2 linked regions of the Oreochromis niloticus genome follow. Each later gene encodes a partner of the first gene's protein in a complex. Links are inferred from orthologs where the notes say so. Each region holds a gene or a part of one and is shown on either strand. Other genes may lie near its edges.

Region 1 (7,889 bases):
ACACAACGACCGAGACTGTGCAAGCCGGGGCTCGAACCAGCAACCTTCCGATTACAAGGCGAACTCCCAACTCTTGAGCCACGATCGCCCTAAATAGCACTAATAATAATAATTATTTGATGTAAAAAAAAGTTTATGAGAATCATTTTATATATTTTTCCATAGCATTACATTTGAATTTAACAGTTCAATCTTTCAAATAACAGACGGATATTTGTGAAAGAATGACCGAGCTAAGATCCTGTGGGACTTCCAGATACAGACGGACAAAATGGTGGTGGCTAACCAACCGGACATAGTGGTGGTAGACAAACAGAAGAAGACAGCCGTAGTGATCGATGTAGCGGTTCCGAATGACAGCAACATCAGGAAGAAGGAACATGAGAAGCTGGAGAAATACCAAGGGCTCAGAGAAGAGCTCGAGAGGATGTGGAGGGTGAAGGTAACGGTGGTCCCCGTGGTAATCGGAGCACTAGGTGCGGTGACTCCCAAGCTAGGCGAGTGGCTCCAGCAGATCCCGGGAACAACATCGGAGATCTCTGTCCAGAAGAGCGCAGTCCTGGGAACAGCTAAGATACTGCGCAGGACCCTCAAGCTCCCAGGCCTCTGGTAGACCCAAGCTTGAAGGATAAACCGCCCGCAGGGGAGTGCTGGGTGGTTTTTAAAAAAAAAATATATATATAGATATAGATATATATGTTCAGAAAAAATGTATTTATTTTACAAAATAGTGAAACATAACATTGTGTGGTCTTGCAGTTTGGCACAAATCCTGTTTTGACTCCATAAAAATGAACAACATTTACAACATATCTGTAATATCCTGAACATTCAACACATCCACACATGCATTTCAAGAAGCATCCTGACCTTCCAAGTCACATTATTCAGTGCAGACTGTGCTGCATCCAACCCTAAACCAGTAACCAGGCAGAACTACAGAACAGTGTCACTGGTAGCTGAAGACCAGTCAAATGTGGCTTGTGCGTGTATTTGTTCACAGAACATGACTTCTAAATATTCAAACTAAACCTTTAACATTAAATAGTTACACACATGTAACACAGCCAGTGGGCTGAAACGCGTCTTTTTTAAACAAGTTTATCCAAAGAGCACCTCTGACGAGCAAGAATCCAAGAAGCACTCCTTTACAAACCCTGTTTTCAAGTTACACTTTCAGAAAATGTTTCTCAACAGTTAATGTAATAGTTTTGTTAACTCCTTGAATTAAAGCTGATAGTCTAAAGTTTTTAGTCAGATGTTGTTTGTTTGATTCAAAGTCCAGTGTGGTGATACACTGAGGCAAATGGCAAAATAATGTTTAATGTGTGAAACACTTATGAACTTGACAGAGATCAGAGGGAGTAACCAACCAATAATGCAAAAGCACAAATGTAAAGGGAATACTACAGAAGACTGTTATATAGTTATTTTAATTTAAAGGCTGCTGTTGTGATACTGTTAGACCTGAAGCCGTAGGTGTTGGGCACTTGGGCAAAGAAATGAGATAAGCTGTCACCACATCACCACCTAGTGGTGAGGTGGATCAGGTGGTGGGGCGGGAATGATGAACAGATGTGGTGTACCCAGCAGCTGTCACAGCTCTGGTCTGTGGTGGTCTGAGAGATCTTCAATCCCACCTCCAGCATAATGCTGCACATCCTCTGTAATATGTCGGGTTTATTTCAGCCTTGCAAAGCGAGTGCTCGTGTTTCACCAATAGAAACATGTGACTTCCGTTTTTTATTCTATTACAGGTCTACTAATGACCATGGGCCTATTACACTAGATTTTGGGGGGGTTTCATGAAAAGAAAAATCATTATTCTTATCTGAATGAGTTGTGTAGTTGTAGTTGTGTAATTTTTACAAATGAACTTAATTGTGGAGGAAATGGAGTCTTCACAGTGTCCAGGGTGAACATATATGAGGAGACCGTTAATGTTGGCACCCAGGAGGTGGGACTCATGACCCTCATTTCTATTAGCAAGCTTGCAAATTAAATACAGTTTAGTGTCCACTCTGACTGATCAGAACATTTTAATTATCACATAAAACTCTGCAGGGTAATGCATGGACAGCAGTGTGTGTAACAAAGTTGAGTTTCCTTAAACCATTTTTAGCCCATGGTAATTCTGAAAATGAGAGACAACGAGCATAAACACAATAAAGGAAATATAGTACCTACTTTATTTTAACAAATTCAAAATGAAACCTCTCTCTCTCCTAGTTAGTCCTTTATTGTTAACATAATTGGCAAAGCTCATTGTTTCTACTATTGGATCCAAGTCTGTGAAAGTCTGAAGTTCATTACACACAATCCATTCAGCAGCTGGGACAAAGTAGTGTTGTAGTGTTTAATGGGAGACCTGAAACAAAACTCTAATAACACTTTTTAAAATCACATACAACATTAAGAATGGTCTGTTACAACTCTACAAGTCAGCATGTTAATTCTGTCAGCCAGTGTAATAAAACCCACAGTATGCTGGACTGTCCCTGTCTACTGTAAACCTTTTCTGTATTTATAAAATAAGAACTTCACAGCTCACGTAGCACTTCTTATCTTATCATTGTTTCTCTTTTCCCACTTACTCTAAGCATGGGTGGCAGGGTTAACCAACGATGTGAAGCATTTGTTTTTGCCTGCCATTGTCCTTTATCCAGGTAAAATCCTCACTGAGATTAAAATCATCACAACATAATCAATCACATAATCATATTCAGTACAGACAGGTGAACACATAAATGTGGATCATTTGCAACAACAGTCATTAAAAATAGTTACACTGATCAAAGCAGTGATTCTCTCACTCCTTTAAAATGGACTTCAGCTCCCCATCACAACCACTGCAGCCTGCAGTGAACACTCCTGTGTTTTATTTAAGAGCAGGTCCTGATGACACAGTAAACCTAACCATGCTCTATAAAGGACTGGGCAGACCTTTACTCACAGTAGCTTCATAGATGCATCATGTTTCTGATGATTAAAGATCAGAATAAATTACAACAGTTAAAAGTATGAACTAAGATCAGCTTAAAGAATAAACAGATCATTTTTCTATGATCAGTACTTTCAAATGCTTTACTGTGTATTCAGCAATAAAAACAGCCTGTCAGTATTCATTCAGCAGGCCAGACAGAGACAGGATAACAGGGCCTGCAGTTTAATAACATCACATTATGCAGTAAAAGGAAATTAAACAGAAGAGAAGCTCACAGATGAAGCCACAAAAATGATTTTCAGTTGGACAGAGATTAAAGGTGTAGTAAGGGTGCTATTGTAGAGTCATCACCTTACGACACCTTGAGACAACTGTTGTTGGCGCTATAACAACAAAATTGAATTGACTTAAAAAAGGTAGAAGATGAAGGAAAGGTGCCAAAAGCAGTGGGAGAAGAAAGAAAAAGACTTACAAAATCTAAAGAAAAGGTGCAGGAAGGAACCGAAAGAGGAGACGATAATATCACAGCTGTTTCAAATAGAAGGAAACACGTACGGGGAAATGTGACTGTGCTGTAGAAGACGACACCATAGAACAATGTACTTTACTGCACTGTCACAAACATGAGACAGCTGATAAAAACCTTAATAATGTGAAAGTGAAACTGGGTCATATTTATTTTAAAAGAACACAAGAAATAAAACTATCAGGCCATATTTACATATTTGTTTTTTAGAAAGACAGATAAATGTTTTGAGTAGAATCTGTAGTTTTATTTATTTGTTTTGTTTTTTGTTTATTTGTTTGTCTTTGTGAACGAGAGTTTATTCAATAGTCATACCAGTGGGTGGCAGTAATGCACCTTTTTTGATATTTACGAGCCGCCAATAAAAATGACTAAGAAAAAGGAGTCGGTGCTCTGGGAGCAGCAGTTTGGCATAAACTGGTTTGTGACTGGACTGGAATGGCCTCCTCATTCTGCTGAGGCTGTGAGGAGAGTGCAAGGGCAGTCTAGATGGAGAGAGAAGACTGTTCAACCAAATTCAACCTCACCCTGTGGACAGAGTGGGAAAACAGAATCTACAGTTACAGTTGACAAGATGTTGTTGTTAGTTGTCACTGACTGTGCAGCTTGATTAAAATACAAAACAGATCAAATCAAAATGATAATCAAAGGAGCAGAGAAGATCTTTGGTGTAAAAGCATTTCAGAACATATTAACAAAGGACTGGAGGGATCCAGGGACATCAGGAGGGAGGATAATAAGAAAGCTCGACGTTTAATAGCAAATGGACAAGAATTTAAAGGATTCATGAAACCAGAAATGATCTGTATTAAGGAAACTTGGCTCAAACCAACTTTCTGTAATCAGAGGATATAGCAGGGTATGCAGAGACAGAGGCGAGGTTCAGGGAGGAGGATGTGTAACAGAATATAGATTATAGATTAGTCCAAGTTTGGAATAGAAAGGACAGCATCAACCCATGCAAAAGGCTTTCATCTGAACCAATGAACTTCATTTCTATTTGAATGGAAATATATTGTGATGTGGCGATTTTAATGCACACATCTCATCATGGTGTACTAATAATGATCACAACAGAACATGAATTACAGCATTAATGTAAAATAAAAAATCATGTTGAAATGATCGGAGGGGCACAAGAGTTAATAGGAGAACAGGTTTGGAATCAGCGACTGATCTGAACTATAATATAAATGACGGTCAACACTCCACACCAGTTGGTGGCGGTAATGCACCAATTCGTTGTTTGCTAACCGCCAATAAAAACAACGAGGAAGAAGAAGAAGAAGCAGAAGAAGACGGTGCTCTAAAAATGGCGGAGTCGGAGGAGGAGGTAGACGTCTTGGTCCAGAGAGTTGTCAAAGACATCGCGAATGCATTCAAGAAGAACCCCAGCATGTGAGTACAGTCGGCTGCGAACAAACAGCGCTGGGCCCGGAGGCCTGTTTCACACCCAGCGGATCCAGGGCTAGGCCACGGCTGATTCAGGGTTTAAATTATGGGCGTGGACTCTTACCTGGAATCGGAACTGTCTAGATGAAGTTTACATTTTAGACACTTAGTTTTGTTTGTTCTGTTCAGTTGTGAGACATGATGTCGTGGGGATTACTGTTTACTTACAATTAAATAACTTAAAACATTGCTGCAGCGGGATATTTCACGACTTTACCGAGCTGAGCTATGCAGCTTTGAAAATGCGACATTCCGATCATGTTGTTTCATTAATGGTGTTATTATTTATTTCGCCGGTGAATGAACTGGGATGCTTAACATTTGTGTATATGGTGGTACCGAATATTTGCATGCCATGAGAAGCACGTGATGTTAGGTCAATCATGTGTGATAGTATGTTAAGAATTTTAAGGCTGCAGCTATCAGTTATTTTGGCAATCAAATATTCTGATTATTCTATCGATTAATCGAGTAATCTGATACTTTTGTCGTATTAATGAGCACTAATCAATATTCCAAACAGGAAAAAAATAGGGCTTTCAAAGCTACTCACTGGTTTAGAATTTGCTATGTTTTAAAAGGACTTTTTCCCAGTAAAGGTTTTAATGGTGACTACAGGAACAAGTGTCGCTTTTTGAGATGCTGGGAAAATGTGTGTAAAATGCTCGACAACAGAGCGCTGCAGACATGTGGCTTAAATAAGATATCAAAGTACAGAATTTGAGACAAGGATTTTTAAAATTTACTCGATGAATCGTTGTAGCTTCTAGTTTAGTGTGATAACCACAGATTTTCAGCTGCTTTGGGTTTTTTGCTAGCCTTTGGAAAAAGAATCCCCTCAGTTTGGATGTGTTTGGTTCACTTTTAAGTTTTCTGGGTGTTAGTGTCAGAATGGATGACAGCAGTAACACGTGTTTTCTTAGCTTTTATTTGTAATTCATTCAAAATAAAAATGTAAAAACTTCCTTTTAACAGGAAGAAACCTCTGACAGAACCAGGCTCAGGGAGGGGCGGGGCCATCTGCCGCGAATGGTTGGGATGGGAGAAGGACTTTTTGCCCATTAGAGAAAACATATTTAAATAGTCATTACTGGTTAGCGTTAAAGGGATTGTTGGCTCAACAGAGCTCTGACTGTTTGTCAGCCTGGCTACAGTGCTGAAGAGAAACCTGGGGTTGTTCTTATTTTCTTCAATCAGTGACGAATAGTAAGATGTTCTGGCTTTGCGGAGGGCTTTCTTATAAAGTAGCAAACTATTTCTCCAGGCTAAATGATGATCCTCTAAATTTGTGACACGCCATTTCCTCTCCAGCTTACGAGTCATCTGCTTTAAGCTACGTGTTTGAGAATTATACCACGGAGTCAGGTACTTCTGATTTGAGGCCTTAGTTTTCACAGGAGCTACAGTATCCAGAGTCGTACGTAGTGAGGAGGTAAAATTATTAACCAGATAATCGACCTCTGTTGGAGTAGCGTTCAGATAGCTGCTCTGCTCTATGTTGGTACAGGGCATTGAAGATGATAACAGTGGGTGGATTATATTCTTAAACTTAGTTACAGCACTTTCAGAAAGACATCTACTTTGATAAAGTAGATGGCTGCTGTGATTGCAGCCATTCCCCAACTCTCTGTGAATGGTACTCATGGACATTGATCAGTGGTTGATGATCAATGGTCATAAGAATTTGCATAATTAAGATTAAGGAACTGACCTCCCACTGAAAACGTTACGTCCAGATGAACAACTTTTGGAGATTTATGTACCTAGATGATTGCGTATGCATCAAGACATTACTGTTTTTACTTTTGTACTTATATATATTTTCCATCCAAATGAATGGAGAATATCTTCTTCACATGCTTTTCACACCTCCAGTATTTTGAAGCTTAACTAGTTCAGCATAGTTTGACCTAGAGATGGAATTCAAACTTTAAACAGGTCCCAAGACCTTGATCTACTAAGGTATTACTAGGATTTTCTCTTTTTACGGGTTTATACAGTTTTGTGACATTTTCAGAGACTTTCTGAGAGTACTACAGAGAACCTGTTCAGCTCTATAAATTAAAATTCTCTGAAAAGGTCTTTTTTTGTTTTGTCCATCCATCCATCTTCTTGCGCTTTATCCGGGGCGGTCGCGGTCGCACCAGCCTAAGCACAGAAGCCCAGACCTCCCTCTCCCCAGCCACCTCCTCCAGCTTGTTCAGGCGAACACCAAGGAGTTCTCAGGCCAGCCAAGAGATATAATCTCTCCAGCATGTCCTGGGTCTGCCCCGGGGTCTCCTCCCGGGGGGACATGCCCAGAACACATCCCCCAGGAGGCATCCTTGTCAGGTACCCGAACCACCTGAACTGGCTCCTTTCGATGTGAAGGAGCAGCGGCTCTACTCTGAGCCCCTCCTGGATGTCCACACTTCTCATCCTATCTCTAAGGGAGAGGCCAGCCACCCTTCGGAGGAAGCTCATTTCTGCCGCTTGTATCCGCGATCTCGTTCTTTCGGTCACTACCCACAGCTCGTGTCCATAGGTGAGGGTAGGGACGTAGATCGACCGGTAAATTGGGAGCTTCTCTTTTACACTCAGCTCTCTCTTCACCACAACAGACCGGTGCAGCGTCCGCATCACTGCAGCACCAGCACCAATCCGTCTGTCGATCTCCCGCTCCCTTCTCCCGTCACTCGTGAACAAAACCCAGAGATACTTAAACTCCTCCACTTCGGGCAAGAACTCGTCCCTGACCTGGAGTGGGCACTCCACCCCTTTCTGGCTGAGGACCCTGGCCTCTGATTGGAGGTGCTGATTCTCATTCCTGCAGCTTCACACTCTGCTGCGAACCATTCCAGTGTGAACTGGAAGCCACTACCCGATGAAGCCAACAGAACCACCCCATCTGCAAAAAGCAGAGATGAGATCCTGAGACAACCCAAGTGAAAGCCTTCCACCACTTGGATACGCCTAGAAATTCTGTCC
Region 2 (7,750 bases), about 25 Mb from region 1:
TATTGCTATTAGATTTAAAAGCAAGATGATGCAATACAACAACGCCAGCAGCCAATCACATAGACATCTGCATTGATTTAAATGGCTCCATAAGCAGCAGTAATTGCTTTAATAGTACAGAATCTTTTGTTAATTTTTATTTCTAAGTTTAGTCTAGTTTTAATTTTACTTTTGACTGCTGTGTTTTAGTTTAGTGAGAGTTTATTATAATGACTAAGCTGATAGAAATAGTCAGATATGACATTTTGCCTTTATTTTATTTCTACAGAGGCCCTATCCTGACTCAGTGTACATTAATATTTTATTAATCGGTTATTTTAATACATAATCACAATAAAAATTATTTGTATTTAATAAACATTAGGGCTACTACATAATTATAATAATTCTGATGCTGTGATTCTGATTTTGAGCACTGAATATGTTTTAATGTTGTTCGCTTTTACTGCTGTGGTTTTCAGGCTTTCATAAAAAAGCCTGAAAACTCATAATAACATCACAATAAACGTGATCTCCAAGTAATATTATGTGATTTGTTAGGGTGAGGGACTCACTATCCATTAATGTTAAGTTTTAGGTTTGCAAGGTTATTTGTTACTTTTATATACGAAATGACTTTTAGCCTCAGTCTATTTTAGAATGCATTTTTTTAACATGACATGTCAACTAACCCTGTGGCCCGAACTTATAATTGATTTTTGTTTTAGAAGAACACCATGCAAAGCTATGGGGTTAATCAATGTTGGACCTGAAAGATACTCGTATGTTTGCGAAACTGCAAACATGCCGAAATTAGAAATAAAAAGGGATGAATGACCTCCAAATCTTAAAATAGCACGCTAGAGGCGAAGGTCTCCTCTGCTTATCAGCTCCAACAGTTTACCTGTCCAGAGGTAAGAGCTTTTTTTAGCTCTGACCTTTTTCTCCAATAGTTTGCTGGACCTGAGTTCAGGGGGGTTTTTTTTAGTAATGGCCTTGATTTTTAAAGGATCAGCACCAGTACTGTAAGATAAGTAAACTCAAAGAATGAGACTGACCTTACTTTCAAGTTTAAATAGTCATTAACTGTGCATGTTATATATATTTGTTGTTTTGGTATAACTATACAATGCTTAAAAATGAATAAAATAAAAATAATAAAATAAAATTACTACAATTTGTTTCTATCAGGTGGGATATCTGATATGTTTTTAAACTTTGGTGTCTCACACCTGACACATTTCTTGAAAATCTTTTGAAGTTCTCAGCACTGAATGTGCATGTACCAAAACAGTTCATGCATGCAGTAGTTTGCCATAGTAAACCTGCAAAATGCTGCAACTTAATTCAAGTGAAGTATTGCTGTCAAAATGATATGTTCCTTTGGCATGGGGTCAACCAGAATGGTCAAAATGTTATGATGTTTTGTCAGTGCTCGGATTTAAGTCTTGTCTTGTTACATCTTCCCTGATGCCAAATATAACCTCTAACAGACTTCTTTATCAAAGCATAACTGTTATTTTTAATTTTTTTTATTAAAGTGAATGGTCTTCTAATGCTGATTCACATTCTATGCAGTAAAGCAAAATAACATTTGCATTCATGTGCATGTAACATGAGGAAAAACATGTTTTGATGCATGCTCAATCATCCAGGTAAGGAAATCCCAGAAAGTTGATTCTGTTCATCTGGACGTAGCGTTTTCAGTGGGAGAAATGTTTCGTCACTCATCCAAGTGACTTCTTCAGTCTCAGCTGAATGCAGGTTTCCCAACTTTATAAACAGTACATTTGCATAATGACCTAAACTAGCACCACTGATAAACAATGGGCCGTGCGGTCAGTTTATAAGGTTGGGGAAAGTTGCAGTCAGATGAGTCTGAAGTAGTCAGTTGGATATGTGATCAAATGTTTCTCCCACTGAAAATGCTACATCCAGATGAACAAAACTTTGTGGGATGAGGGAAAACAAATTTATTTTACTGCAGTGGTCACACAAAACCTTAAATGTAGTTACAACAAAAGCTAAAACTGTTACATAAACATTACTATTAATACCTAAAAATCATTACTATGTTTACAGTAACAAATCTGTGCTGGAACTCACTGGATTCCAGCTGGCTTGGCCACAGATTCCCATCAACCTCTCCTTCACAAGAAGTTGCTGTACTGTAATACTTTTAACTGTGAAGAAACATTCTCTGCGCCTTCTTTCTGCTGTCTTCAAGTGTCATTCAACTGAGCCAAAGCCACTGAGGAAGCACTAATGTGTTTGTGATGTGTCTGATTTTTACTTGATTTTCACCAGCTGGGATGTGTTTAAGTGATTCTGGTAATAAAACAATACGATATTTAAAAGAAGGGGGGGGGGGGGTGATAATATTGGGTGATGAAATTGTTAGAAGCATGTTGTAACACACACGCAGTTTGTTTAGTTTGTGTCCATTTACAGGGAGAAATTGAATGTGTGCCAAGTGCTTGTCAATAGATGATTATCCAGTTAATTTAACATGTGGCCTGTTTGCACAGAAGCCTGCCTGAATGGATCTCCAGCTGTCTCTCGCAAAGTAAACTTCAGAGATTGAAGCAACTGTGTTGTTCAATTACAAGAAGAGAAACGTAAAGATCTGTAGCGTTATAGTGTATTACTACAAACTGTACGTCAAGGACAATTCGTTTAATCGTGTTCATCAAAAAATTAGTGCAAGGAAATGGAAATATTTTAGGTCCGTCCTATCACGTTTTCTGTATCCAACTGTAGCCACGATACAACAGATACTTAGAAGATACTCATGCATTTATTTACCTTTTGCCATTAATAGTCCATTTATAGTCTAAGATCATATCACTGATATCAACATCATTGAATTGTGAACTATACTGTAGCGATAACCTTCTTCTAAAAGTTGCATCTGTTCAGAAATGTATTTCATCACATTAAAATTTTGCAGATAGCAAGATTTTTTTTTTTTTTTTAAAAACTGTTTCTTTACCTTTTCCATCGTATGACAATGATGACTAAATCCGAAGTGTCCTGCCGACCATTAGTCTTGGAGGTGGAAGTTCCCTCCCTTTAGAAGTTTTGATGATTCCCAAGTTGTTGCTCTTATGGTGTTTTGCCTCGGCATAGGTGCATGAAAGGCCCAACCATTATTATGTCCCCAGCATTTGGTCTACATAATTCTCTGCAGCAGCTTGAAACCACATTTACATATCTGCAGTTTTTCTACTTTCAAAGTTGTAAACAGAAAAATAAAATCTGCAGGTGACCAAAGTATCTTAAATAGCTTTTGGAAATTTCTTCATTCTTGCAGATACTTTTGGCAGAAAGTATAAAAACTAAGAATTCCTCTTAACTCTTGGACACAGTAAACTCAAATCTTCAGTCATAAATAGCGTAAATTACATCCTAAAGAATATGTGTGGGAAAAAATGAAGGACTAATTTTCACTATCTACATATGTATCTATCTATTACACACATAAATGTTATATATTTTAAATACTCAAACATTTGTTTCTGGGCGAAAACCTATGGACGTCTTCATTCTTGTTAGCGGTTCCAGTTAATATCCACACAATGAATATGCCATCCAAGAGTCAGTTAAACAAGAACAACAAGACAATAAATTAAGCAACCAAACCTTTGTCGCATTGATAAACCCTTACATCTTTAAGTAAAATGGAGAAAAATATGAAAGCAACCTCCAGCTTGTAGGCAAACTTCTCACTGACAGTATCTCAACTCAAACAAAATTAGTTCCAGGAAAAGAAAACTCATTTCTCCCTTCAGTGCAGCTGACGATCATCAGATTCACCTAAATACTTACTGGTTTCCATGCCAATAGGATTTCAATGTGTCACCAAGGAAATGAATAACAGGCTCACATCTGACATGGAAAACACTTACCTACACGGAGTTAAATGCCCAGGAGGAAATTGCTAAATGGAGCAAGATTACCCGAGAAAACATGAATTGAGGTTGCCATAAAACAGCTGAATGTTAAAATAGTTTTTTACAGATTAAGGACATAATAATAATAATAATAATAATAACAACAACAACAACAACAACAACAACAACAACAACAACAACAACAACAACAACAATAATAATAATAATAATAATAACAACAACAACAACAACAACAACAATAACAATAATAATAATAAAGTGGAACTTTTATTGTTTGGCTTCACACAAACAAGTGGATAGCAATCAGTTCTCCCAGAATAACAAATTCAGGGTTTTCTACCATTAGTATAAAAGCACATCTATTAAATGTCAATAAATATGGTTGAAATGTTGAAACATATTATCATTTGAACCAGTTATTACAATCTCGCAATCCTGCTAATCTAAACCGATAAAAATTAATTTGCTGCATCCAACAGTGTACATAGTACCTTAGATGAAAAATAAATATGATCCGTTTAAGGCTGACTGTTATCCATCCGTGTGTCTAAGATTTCCCTCCGTGTAAATACGTTGTAAATACGTTTATATTAGGTAGATATAATATCGCTTTGAATCTGGCAAACAACCGGAACTCTTAGCCCAGCGGTGTGCGTGTTTCCAGCGGAGTGAATGTCAGATTGCACCGTTTGGGGACCGTGACGTGGTGATTGGTCACTTTAAGTTCATGTTAAAAACTGTTAAGTTAGCGCTAACTATACTGTGACTGGGTTAGTGGACGTGTTTCGTACATACCTACGAGTTTTATTTCAATACGGAATTGGACTTTTTCTGTCTGTTTTGATTGGAATCAGACGGTTTGCGATAGTTTTAGCTGGTAAGTTAGCCGAGGCCTGCCTTAGAGTAGATAGCAGCTGGAGCTAATCTGATTAAATTTTGTAATTTTCTTGACAAGTTTAAAACTTGAATCAACTTCTTTGCAGTCTTTGCTTTTCGCCATCAGTCAGCCTGTTAGTCCCATCTGTAAGGAGGGAAAATGGTTAATCTAAAATGACTATGGCTGAGAGTAAACAGTTAGCCTACAAGCTTTTATCTAGGCGGCGACTGCTTTTGCTGCGAGCTTCACGTCGTTGAAGTTTCTCTTTTTTTGTTAGCGGGGAAGCTAGTTAGCTGAGCCGGATAAAGGATAATGTTCTCATGTGATTGTTCTTATGTTATCAGACTATCAGGACTGTGTAACTGACACACGAACCGGTGGCAATATGAAGCTCTACAGTCTCAGCATCCTCTACAAAGGAGCGACCAAATCCAATCTTCTCAAAGCGGCCTACGACCTGTCCTCCTTCAGTTTCTTTCAGCGCTCCAGGTGCGTCTCACTAACGAAACGAAACAGTTTTTACTGCAGTTCCTTATTTCTTAGAGTACTGACCTGTGCCTCACACATCACGGGTAGTATTTATTTCACTATTTCTAAGTGTTTTCTACTCTACACTAAGTATTGCTTTGGTTTGTTTAGCATTCAGGAGTTCATGACCTTCACCAGTGCCTTGATTGTCGAACGAACATCTCAAGGAACCCGTGCCTCCGTCAAAGAACAAGGTAAACAGATTTAGAGTGTTTTAGGTGTGGCCCTGTGATGCAGTGATTAGTGCTGTTGCATCAGAGAAGACCCTACAGATTCAGGGTAACCTTTTGTCAAGTATCCTCTCTACAGTGGTATTGGTATAAAAGGCTGCACATTAGCCGCTTACTTGGATAACTAAAGACTATCACAGATCTCAAAGGACGAGAACAATAATAAGTTGTGATTTGTAATATCATAAAGGAATGACTTTCTGCAGTGTCCTGCGTCACAGTAGGGCAGAAGGAGATTTCTGCTGAAAAGTGATTTGATGTTTGACAGGGAAATTGTGATGGGGCTGTGACTAGGGATCGGTATCGTTTAGGTTTTATCCGATACCGGTGCCAAACCGGTACTCTTGAAACGGTGCCGGTGCTTAAACGGTGCTCGAACCGGTGCTTAAAGAACGAAGAACACACACTTTGTCCAAAAACCTCTCATGTTTAGCTGATTTTTTTTGTAAAAAGATAACAATGTTAGCCTTTTCTGCAGCTATAGGGGATTTATGGTATCACTCTTGGCTGGAAGCAGTGCTTAAACAATGGGGAAAAAAAACACCAACTTTGTCCAAAAACCTCTCATGTTTAACTGTTTCCCACTTTTTCTTTGGTCATTTTAGCCTTTTTGGCCAGGGTGAAGGGAGTATCTGCCATCAAACAAGAAGACAGCCGCATGTAACTACGACGGTGTTTACTAGTTCACCTTACATGCATTAATTTAATAACGTGGTTAGCCTACTCAACATAAATTACACACAAACAACATTAAGCTACTCACGCAGAGAAGAACGGCTGCTGTTGCCATCATCATCCGTCATCATTTCTGCTACGCTGACAGGGCTAGGGGCCAGGACTCTACTCTTCGGGTTCTTGGAGGATGTTGCTAACTCCGGGTTCGATAACAGGCACCACACCCGCAGTAGATGTGCTCGGTGTGAGGTCTTGCAGCAAGCTATCAAATACGGTGTATTTCTCGGCTTTTAAAAAAATGCTATGCGTCGCCAGGTGTTTCATCAGATTCGAGGTGTTACCTCCTTTGCACAGTATCAGCTTAAAGCACTTGTTGCAGGCTGCTGAGTTTGCATCTTTTCCTGTGAAGTACAGCCAGACTTTTGACCACTTCGCCTTGGGCATTTTTAATCTGTAGCTCTGCTCTAAAAGAACGTACATACCTGGGCCCGCCTACTATCTTTGGAAACGTAAAATGATTGGCTAGAATCCAAAGTGTATGACATCTCAGGAAAAAAAAGCACCGAAATAAAGCACCAAAATGTGCGCTGCTTTTCGGTCTGGTTACTACCGTTTATGTCAGAACTGGTGCGATACCGGTACCCATACCTAGCTGTGACATGTTCTCTGGCCTGAAAATGGACATTTTAAGTCCAGTTTTAAACAGTTGGAGATAATAAAAGTAAAATTTAAGCTGTCTCAAAACAATGACGCTAAACATTTCCTTGTTTCTGGAGTACACAGACTGCTTTTCCCCTCTTCAGTTTCATGCAGGCTGAATCATCATATCATGTGACATGAACTTTAACAAATGTCATTACGGAGTTATGCTTCATAATGAGTGTGTGATGTTTGTTTGTTTTTGTTTTGGGAGTCGTATGGAGAACATTTTGCTAAGTTGTATTTTAATAAGGCTTTTTATTCTTTGGCCCTTCTTCAATGCACCAGTAGACACAGTAGTTTTCCTGTACAATAAGATCGGGTGAACATTGTTCTGATAACAACACACCTTGCTCCTTTTTTTTTCTTTCAGAGTACCTGTGCCATGTGTATGTGAGAAATGACAATTTGGGTGCTGTAGTCATCGCAGATACTGAATATCCACAGAGAGTCTGTTTCACATTGCTTGACAAGGTGGTTTATATATTTAAAAAAAAAAATACATATACATATTATGAGACTTGTTGTTGATTTCAATAGTGACATTGCTTTTTTTTAGGTATTAGAGGAGTTCTCTAGGCAAGTGGACAGTATAGACTGGCCCTCTGGTAATCCTGACACCATTAACTACAAAGCCCTTGACATTCACCTCTCTAAATACCAGGTCAGTTTGTTTTACATTTCTCAGAATTTATGTTAACGAAAGACCTGATATTCTATGACTGCAACTAAACTGTTTGTGTGATTTAAAAACAATATCAGAAGGACTCCATAATCACCAGATGCTCACATCATTTGGCAGCATTTACTTGTATAGTGCAAAATGCATCTACTTGATAGCTGGTTCT

What was found.
Region 2: the proteins of ptar1 (region 1) and ykt6 are in contact, whole or in part, in a crystal structure (PDB 6J7F), measured with the Homo sapiens proteins. The link is inferred for Oreochromis niloticus from reciprocal best matches to the Homo sapiens genes PTAR1 and YKT6. Residues at the interface, in NP_001093136.1 of Homo sapiens: Glu31, Gly33, Leu34, Ile35, Pro36, Val48, Val50, Glu51, Lys53, Leu54, Gly55, Ser58, Lys135, Tyr191, His225, Ser228, Met229, His230, Val231, Ser232, Asp233, Phe298, Asp301, Leu302, Ser305, Tyr306, His309; in NP_006546.1 of Homo sapiens: Met1, Ser29, Phe30, Phe31, Asn83, Glu84, Pro86, Gln131, Asn132, Pro133, Arg134, Gln180, Phe184, Arg189, Ser193.

The regions. Positions count from the first base shown.
Region 1 is NC_031977.2:970,929-978,817, forward strand, and holds the start of ptar1 (protein prenyltransferase alpha subunit repeat-containing protein 1), read left to right. Parts: upstream 1-4,713; 5' UTR 4,714-4,782; coding exon 4,783-4,868; intron 4,869-7,889.
Region 2 is NC_031977.2:26,280,993-26,288,742, reverse strand, and holds the start of ykt6 (synaptobrevin homolog YKT6), read left to right. Parts: upstream 1-4,504; 5' UTR 4,505-4,599; exon of another isoform or gene 4,600-4,770; intron 4,771-5,114; 5' UTR 5,115-5,155; coding exon 5,156-5,259; intron 5,260-5,409; coding exon 5,410-5,492; intron 5,493-7,275; coding exon 7,276-7,376; intron 7,377-7,461; coding exon 7,462-7,566; intron 7,567-7,750. UniProt on the Homo sapiens protein: Vesicular soluble NSF attachment protein receptor (v-SNARE) mediating vesicle docking and fusion to a specific acceptor cellular compartment. Functions in endoplasmic reticulum to Golgi transport; as part of a SNARE complex composed of GOSR1, GOSR2 and STX5.